Linked DNA regions of Xenopus tropicalis. The main gene of each other region encodes a partner of the protein of the gene in region 2 in a complex. Links are inferred from orthologs where the notes say so. Each region holds a gene or a part of one and is shown on either strand. Other genes may lie near its edges. The genes, in order: fgf19 and klb.

Region 1 (4,529 bases), on a different chromosome or scaffold from region 2:
GGGTATTATACATGGAATTGGCACTGTATTTATCCTGCTGTGGGTTCTGGGGTATTATACATGGAATTGACACTGTATTTATCCTGCCGTGGGTTCTGGGGTATTATACATGGAATTGGCACTGTATTTATCCTGCTGTGGGTTCTGGGGTATTATACATGGAATTGGCACTGTATTTATCCTGCTGTGGGTTCTGGGGTATTATACATGGAATTGGCACTGTATTTATCCTGCTGTGGGTTCTGGGGTATTATACATGGAATTGGCACTGTATTTATCCTGCTGTGGGTTCTGGGGTATTATACATGGAATTGGCATTGTATTTATCCTGCTGTGGGTTCTGGGGTATTATACATGGAATTGGCACTGTATTTATTCTGAGGTGTTCAAGGGACAATGTATGGAATTTGCATTGCATGTACGCTAGGGTATTATGTATGAAATTGCCACTTCATGTATCCTGCAAGGTGCTCAGTATAAGAAACCCTGGAAAATGCCTTTGCATAGAAGACTTTACACAGTGGCAGTGTGCTCCAGACATAATCTGTTCCTCAGTTTTATTGAGCTATAGTTCATTCACCTGTTCTGACTGAGCCAAAAATAAGCCGGGTATAAAGTTGAAAGGTAAAGAAGCGGTCAAATGAGAGCACTGTTAAAGGAGTGCTGATGCAATGAAAATGTACGAAAAATGACACTTTTTTCCTCTCTTTTCAGTAGGAAGGTGACGTTATCTAGATATTCTTGGCCAATTCCATGCAAAGGTAAGTAATATGGTATGTTGTACTGCTTCTGCGGCATACAGAATGTGCATCATACAACTTCAGTACATCAGTATAAAACTAATATGCTTGTTTATAGTGAGCAGTAACTTTAGAGCAAAGGACCTTTGTTTTAAAAAAAAAACCAACAGCTTCTTTATACATACATACATACATCCCAGAACACACGGCAGGATAAATACAGTGCCATTTCTATGTATAAGGGTGAAGACACATGGAGCTACTAGTAGCAGTTACTAGTAGTGGCTACTAAAACAGACAATGCTGATCATTTACTGATAATTGTCCCTATGTGTGTTTTAGCAGAGGCAATTCTCAGTAATGTCTATGGTATTTTCTGGAGTTTAGTAGCCCCGACAAGTAGCTGCTACTAAGTAGCTCCATGTGTCTTACCTTAATGCTGCTAAAAGACATTTTGGAAGCCACATGATCTGTTCTGCATACAGTTATCATGGCTGTTTGTATCCTTTATTCCTATATGATTTGTTCTACTTATAAGCTTCCACCCTTGCATATCTTTATTATTAGAAGCTTCAGAGCTCACTTACCATTCCATAGAGTTTTCCCTCGGACCCCATGCACAGGTACAGAGAGCTGCGATACCCTTTAATGGCAACAATTCCAACTGCAATTGCTCTGATTTCCAATAAACCTGCACATATAAAAACAAAAATGATTCAGATGGAAGATCCTAGATTTAATTCTATCATCTGCAAACGGTTTATATGTTTCCTGATTAAATTGACCTTAGTCTTTGTATGTATGTGATAGGGGCAATATAGTTTAACATTCACTGGGTCAAGAATCTTGGTAAAGCACTATGGAATATGTTAGGTCCGTTATCTGGAAACCCGTTATCTAGAAAGCTCCAAATTATGGGAAGGTCACCTCCCATAGACTTCATTATAACCAAATAATTCTAATTTTTAAAAATGATTTCCTTTTTCACTATAATAATAATACAGTCCCTGTACTAAGATATTATTAATCCTTATTGGAGGCAGAACAATCCTATTGGGTTTATTTCATGTTTAAATGATTCCCTTTTCTCTGTAATAATAAAACAGTACCTGTACTTGATCCCAACTAAGATATAATTACCCCTTATTGGGGGCAGAACAGCCCTATTGGGTTTATTTAATGGTTAAATGATTCCCTTTTCTCTGTAATAATAAAACAGTACCTGTACTTGATCCCAACTAAGATATAATTACCCCTTATTGGGGGCAGAACAGCCCTATTGGGTTTATTTAATGGTTAAATGATTCCCTTTTCTCTGTAATAATAAAACAGTACCTGTACTTGATCCCAACTAAGATATAATTACCCCTTATTGGGGGCAGAACAGCCCTATTGGGTTTATTTAATGGTTAAATGATTCCCTTTTCTCTGTAATAATAAAACAGTACCTGTACTTGATCCCAACTAAGATATAATTACCCCTTATTGGGGGCAGAACAGCCCTATTGGGTTTATTTAATGGTTAAATGATTCCCTTTTCTCTGTAACAATAAAACAGTACCTGTACTTGATCCCAACTAAGATATAATTACCCCTTATTGGGGGCAGAACAGCCCTATTGGGTTTATTTAATGGTTAAATGATTCCCTTTTCTCTGTAATAATAAAACAGTACCTGTACTTGATCCCAACTAAGATATAATTACCCCTTATTGGGGGCAGAACAGCCCTATTGGGTTTATTTCATGGTTAAATGATTTTTTTTTTTTAGCAGATTTAAGGTATGGAGATTACAGATTACAGATTACAGAAAGAAGCCCCAGTTCGCAAGGATTCTAGATAACAGGTCCCATCACTGTGCTATATAAATAATTATTAATAACAATAATAGTTCATTTGATTCAGAAACAATTGATGTGATTTATTCATAGATAGTTTTGCTCTACGTTACACTTACTGTGCATGCTTTGTTGCCTGTCACCATCGACTCTGCCATCCTCGTGTATCCGGAGGTAGTAGCTGTCGTGCCCGAACCTCCTGGCCGTATACAGGTGCCGAATTCTGATCGACTCCCCCCAGCCGTTCTGCATGTGCGGCCCGGCATCAAAAAGCGGCAGACTTTCCGCCCCTCCGAGGAAATACAGCACGGCCACCATCATGGGAACCAAAATCCAAGGCAGGGTCTTCCACATCTTCCCAGGGTTGGAAATGGCAATTTGAGAGCTCACACACACACACAAAGAGTCAGTAACACTAAAGTTGCTTGAGACAGACTGTCAGGCAATGCTTTTTTTTTTTTTTTTTAACCTAATTGCCTCGGGGCTGTAGTAAATACAAGCCAATCCCCAGCCTTTTATAGGACTCTTATCAGCTCCATAGATAAGGTCATACTATTTTCAATAAGTAGACCTTTCATAGTAAGCACAGACCTCCCCTTCCTATCATCATTACATCACCCTCACAGGTTACATACTCGGGTTTTTAGCTGTTTCATTATTCCTATTTGTTACCCCTGTTATTAAGGAAAATGTTTGTATAACTGAGATATTTTATGTGTAATTGTATCTTTGTCTTTTAAATCGGATCCGGATTTGGAAAAATGTTCAAAATTTTTTAAAAAAACGGATATATCTGTGTATACCTTGTACTGGGGGAGGGATAGTTGTCCTTTTATTGCCAAGCAGAGTAAGTGAGACATTTGTTAACAATGGCACATACCCCTGCCTATGGGTCCTCCTTTAATGGGAGGCTATTAGTACGTAGACCCTTCTGTGTCAGAGACTTTTCTTTGTCTCGCTGAAAGGAAAGCCCTTTAGGTCTGATCCACCTTTTTGGATTAGCAGCCTGCGGGTGTGGGACTACAATTCCCATCATGCTGGGGTGGGAGGGGGTGTTGCACTACAATTTTTGGCAGAATTCAAACCTGACCTGCAGTTTAAACTAAGAAATGTTAAAGTCCACAGTTACTTGGAAAATACAGCAGTGAATGAAACGTGTAGCCTTTTACTCCACCGTGGTCTCTGATTGGATGCTACACCAATATACGCCATACACTATTCACAAAAATGAAATTTAACCTTTTAATTGTGAACTGGGTATGCAGACTATAATGCGACAAAATGGCAGCACGTGACAAAATTGTATAGAACTGTAAAGGTGCCCATACTCATGCAGATTTAAGCTGCCAATTTGGCTCCTTCAGCTTATCTGCCTGTGTGTGGGGCCCTCCGACGGGCTTCCCGGGCTGAAAATCGTCCAGTTCGGACAGGCTTGATATGGCTCTTGCTCCGATTGTTATGGCCCCTAGATCCAAATGACCAGCTTAGAACGATTTCGCCCACATTAGGTGGGTATAACAGGCGGGCAGATCTAGTTTATGGCTTCATTCAGCATTCATTTGCCCTGACACATGTTCAAGTGCCGCTAGTGTCCCTGTATATTGACCTTTGTGAGGCTTAGTTGTGTAACACGTATCCTGTTTGTGTGTGTGTTGACTGCAGGGAAACTGTGTCCCACAGGACTAGTGCTTGACCCTTCCTGGGTGCTTGACCTGCTGTGTCCCACACACCGGGTATTTGTGTAATGCCGTACATTGATCTCAGTGGAAATGTCCCCAATGTAGCGCCTACTTAATTAGCCTCTTTATTTCCTGAATCAAAGTAGCATTTATATGTGTATTTTTGTCTGTTTGCCCATACTGACAATCTGTGGGTTCAGGGAAATGCCAGAGGGGCTGCTGTAAGGTGCCACAGACCAACCTTTTTTACCCTTTTACATTTAAATGTAAAAA
Region 2 (4,504 bases):
GCTGTTCTGTGCAATATATTTTTATAGAGGCCTACATTGTTTGGGGATATAGTTTTCTTTCAAGTTGTGTTTGGGTGGAGTTCCCCTTTAAGTGCTAAGCAGGGATGCATCAAATCCACCGTTTGGCCATCCTTGCATGAACCAGATGAATCCTAAGTGCTCAGCCAAACTGAATCCGAACCCTAAAGTTGTGTTACTTTAAAGATGTCGGCAGCTGATTAAAGATTTTTTTATACACAATTGATGCAATTTTTTAAATGCAAATATTTTGTACAAGTAATCAGTATTTGGACAACTCCAAAAATTCTTGGTTCAGTGCACCCCTAATTATTATTATCCTTATTCATACAGAACCAGAATTAGTAGGGTTGACCAATGATACTATGACCAATGGCCGTGGGAAAGATGTAATTGTAGCGTGTCTGGCCACCTTTAATCCCTAGCATTCTGCAGATGCTGTCACTGGGGATGATTTACTAACATAAGTGCTATATTGCACCAGTGCAGTAACCAATAGTAACCAATTTAGAATAAGTTTTGATGCACAGCATGGAGGCAAAAAAATATTAGAATTCGATTCCAGACAAGGCGGGATCTGCAGACATTTCTACATTCTCCCTGTGTCTGTGTGGGTTTCCTCTCACATTCCAAGAACATACAGGCAGGTTAATAGGTACCTGATAAAAGTGACCTTACTGTGTGTGAATAGGGACCTTAGATTGTAAGCTCCGCTGGGGCATTTGAAATGTTCCCTAAATGACTGGCTTCATACAGGCTCCCTGTCAGTTACTATGGCTCAGATAGTGGCCAGATCCAGAGACAGAGATAAACAGTAGAAATACGAGATACAGCAATCACAGGTCAAGGCTACTGGCGGTGCTTATCAAAGGTTTACGGAAAAATATCCCTGCAGGAATAATTTCACTTTTTTCCCATTGCCACGAGACATCAAAAGAACATAAGTAAATAAAATGACAGAATAATGTATATTTAAAAAAAAATAAATAAAGTTTATATCTCAGTTATGTAACATTGCATACATCACCCTATAGAACCCAAAAAATATATGCAACGCTAATACTGGGAAAGAAAACTTTCCAATAAAAACTGCAAAATTTACTTGTAATTTATAGAACCTAGACTGACAGACATACAGACAACGCCATTTATGTGGTGCTATATATATATATCTATCTTTTTTTCATTTTGAAAAATTAAAAACGTGTATTTATAACAGCATGGACAGCGGATTTCTACTGTGCCTACTCAGGGTAACCCAACAAACACTGTGCCTACTCAGGGTAACCCAACAAACACTGTGCCTACTCAGGGTAACCCAACAAACACTGTGCCTACTCAGGGTAACCCAACAAACACTGTGCCTACTCAGGGTAACCCAACCAACACTGCGCCTACTCAGGGTAACCCAACCAACACTGTGCCTACTCAGGGTAACCCAACAAACACTGTGCCTACTCAGGGTAACCCAACAAACACTGTGCCTACTCAGGGTAACCCAACCAACACTGTGCCTACTCAGGGTAACCCAACCAACACTGTGCCTACTCAGGGTAACCCAACCAACACTGTGCCTACTCAGGGTAACCCAACCAACACTGTGCCTACTCAGGGTAACCCAACCAACACTGTGCCTACTCAGGGTAACCCAACCAACACTGTGCCTACTCAGGGTAACCCAACCAACACCATCCCTACCACAGAAAGCCCGACAAACAGCAGGTAAACACCCAAGTAAAGCAATAACCATGCCAGCCCCCAGTACACCCCCAAACATGTGCCATGCCAGTAACTTTAACTATAACCTGCCCGGAGCAGACCCGCACACACCTGTCATAGGAACAGCCACAACTGCCTTACCCACCCCCGCCCTGGCCACAAGTTCCGTATTACAGATACCCCACAAACACCCTACGTACCCAATACCTTATACACTATTCCTATTGTAGCTGCCCTGAAAAACTCCATCCACACCTACAAACATAATATATACTCACCTACATACACACGCCGCCACCACAACCCCCTGCCCTTCAGTATTCGCTTCCCTCCCAGGCGGCGCACAGTACAGGACAGAGGGTCGGCGCCCCCGGAGCGTTTCCGAGCGATTAGGTAAAGGCAGGGGCACAGGCTGAGCGCTTACCTTGATGAGATTGTGCGCAACCAGAGAAACTCTCGCCGTGTCCCACTTTTTCCAAGGTGCGTGTAGCCCTGTGCCATAGCCATGCCAGGCTATCAGGTAGGGGTTGTGCATTGTGATCCAGTATTTCACCCTATCCCCAAACCTCTGGAAGCAAAACCTGGCATAGTCATTAAACAGCTGGGTGACAGAGTCGTTGGCCCACCCTCCGTATTTCTCCTGGATGGCGGCTGGTAAGTCCCAGTGGTACAGAGTGATCACTGGCATCACATTCTTACTGATCAGCAGGTTTATCATGTTGTTGTAATATTGCACCCCATGATCACTGGGGGCCCCACTCCCCTCTGGAAACAGTCTGGGCCAGGAAAAAGAGAAATGGTAAAAATTCACCCCAAGAAACTCCAAGGCGGGTAGAAGAGTGTGTGCCAGTTTGGGGGTGCTGCCAGTGGGCTGCTCATTCTTGCTGTTGGCCAGCCCAGACTGGTGGTCTTTTAGTGATGTGTCCCAAATAGATGCTCCCCTGCTGGAGTGATCCTCTTCCATCTGCAGGGATGAGCTCCCCACACCCCAGATAAAGTCTGAAGGGAAAGTGCCATATGTGAAGAGCTGACTCTGGTTTGTGGGGTTCAGTGAATGGCTCCTTCCCCACACACTCCTGCCTTCCCCTGGGCTGCCAATCACTTCCCCTAGTAACCCTAAAGGCACCAAGAACCCCACCAGCCACAAGTGCCCCATTGTGCCCTCTCTGGGTCTCCTGGTCAGAGGGTTCCTTTCATGTAGGCGAGAGTTTCATTCAAGGCAAGTCTCTCCCTGACCCTTGTCAGCTGCCTTCTGCCCTGCCTGCTGCACTGTCCTTATCTCAGCTCCTCTATAGAACTGAATTGTAAAAATGCTGTCAATGATTAGCTTGAACTGTGAGCCCAGGAGGGGTCGCTGAGAGGAGGGGGTGGAGATGTGTCCTTGCTCTCACTATTGGAAGGCTCAGCTGCTCTCCTCCACTATATGTTACCTGTCCTCTCTGTGGGCACTGCTGCCTAATAACGTCAGTGCCATTCCTGGCATAGCAGTGCTGCTGTCATAACACACCATGTAATGTGCCTATAGGGATACATCATTCATTTGTGTATGGGGGGTAGCTGGAACATATGTCTGTGTATATATGGGAGGATCATTTCCAACAGATATGTCTTGCTTTCAGGTAATTACATTTTATCTTTCAGCTCTACACCAGCTTGCAGCTGACTGAATGAATTCCCTTTGGCCTGAACACACAACTTGGCATGTTTATTTCTTACCATTATTTTCAAACCACAAAATAATGGTAAAAAATAAATATGCTAAAAGTGCATCAACACACACACATATACAGTATATGCAACCATACATATACAGACAAACAAAAGTCTTATTTACAGTACAACCTCAACCACAATTTATATGGAAATATTGCATGTATCAACACCAAACATGAACCTTATCTAGACAATTAGTACAGATATTGATATAGACAGTGTATATATGCGAGTGTATAGAAATATTGGTAAGAGTGTGTGTGTGTATATGTGCACTAGGGTGCGCTTGGAAGGGTTGAACTTTATGGACTTTGGTCTATTTTCAACCCAGCGTAACTATGTAACTATGTAACGTGCAATTCTGCTTGCAAATGTCTGTTTGGCTGAATTGTGTGCAAGTGTGCCTATTGACACAGGGGAATCCAAGAGCTACTGCCACCCTGAAGGTGTTGGCAATGCCAAGGTCCCCTCTGCAAGCTACGTTAGTATGTGCAGCACGCCTGTGCTGAAAAAATAACAGGCAAATGTAATTTTCATGCCAACTGCCAGTAATGACACCATCTTGCCTCCGATTTGTAATAAAAAACTAGCGCAATGGGATGCAATTGCACCGAACACAAATCCAACTGCTGCTCCAAAACACTGTAATCGGAGGAAGAAATGCTGCATATAAAAACATGATATATTACATCTGGGAATTTCACTCTTAAGACGCCAAAGCAGCGATCTTATAGTGTTTGGCCACCTTTAGCCAGTGTTACTATGAGTGCTTTCATGACTGGGAGTATGCCAGATATGGGCAGGAGAAGCAGCGGCCATTCAAATAAAAAAAATGCACCTTTGCAGTGACGTGTCAAAGCTTAATTATATCTTGAGGGATGGGCTCTGATACGTACTTGATTTATCACTTACCATGTGGGGAAGGTTCCCTATTTTAAGATTTATCCCTCTGTATAATTACAGAGGGCAGCACATTCCCTGTACATCATGCACAGTTCCCCTTTAATGCAAAGGCAGGGATCATGGTTAAAACATTATTTTTATTAATTTCCTT

The links.
Region 1: the proteins of klb (region 2) and fgf19 are in contact, whole or in part, in a crystal structure (PDB 6NFJ), measured with the Homo sapiens proteins. The link is inferred for Xenopus tropicalis from reciprocal best matches to the Homo sapiens genes KLB and FGF19. Residues at the interface, in NP_783864.1 of Homo sapiens: Phe379, Lys380, Val392, Leu394, Trp419, Phe420, Thr421, Asp422, Val425, Thr431, Tyr434, Met435, Asn438, Tyr643, Glu693, Arg696, His743, Asn824, Phe826, Met832, Gln848, Phe849, Leu850, Gln851, Ile853, Leu862, Phe931, Phe942; in NP_005108.1 of Homo sapiens: Leu192, Thr194, Asp195, Ser196, Met197, Pro199, Phe200, Leu202, Val203, Thr204, Ser211, Pro212, Ser213.

What each region holds. Positions count from the first base shown.
Region 1 is NC_030680.2:12,860,203-12,864,731, reverse strand, and holds the start of fgf19 (fibroblast growth factor 19 precursor), read right to left. Parts: upstream 2,932-4,529; coding exon 2,697-2,931; intron 1,432-2,696; coding exon 1,328-1,431; intron 1-1,327. UniProt on the Homo sapiens protein: Involved in the suppression of bile acid biosynthesis through down-regulation of CYP7A1 expression, following positive regulation of the JNK and ERK1/2 cascades. Stimulates glucose uptake in adipocytes. Activity requires the presence of KLB and FGFR4.
Region 2 is NC_030677.2:36,115,087-36,119,590, reverse strand, and holds the start of klb (beta-klotho), read right to left. Parts: upstream 3,036-4,504; 5' UTR 2,894-3,035; coding exon 2,162-2,893; intron 1-2,161.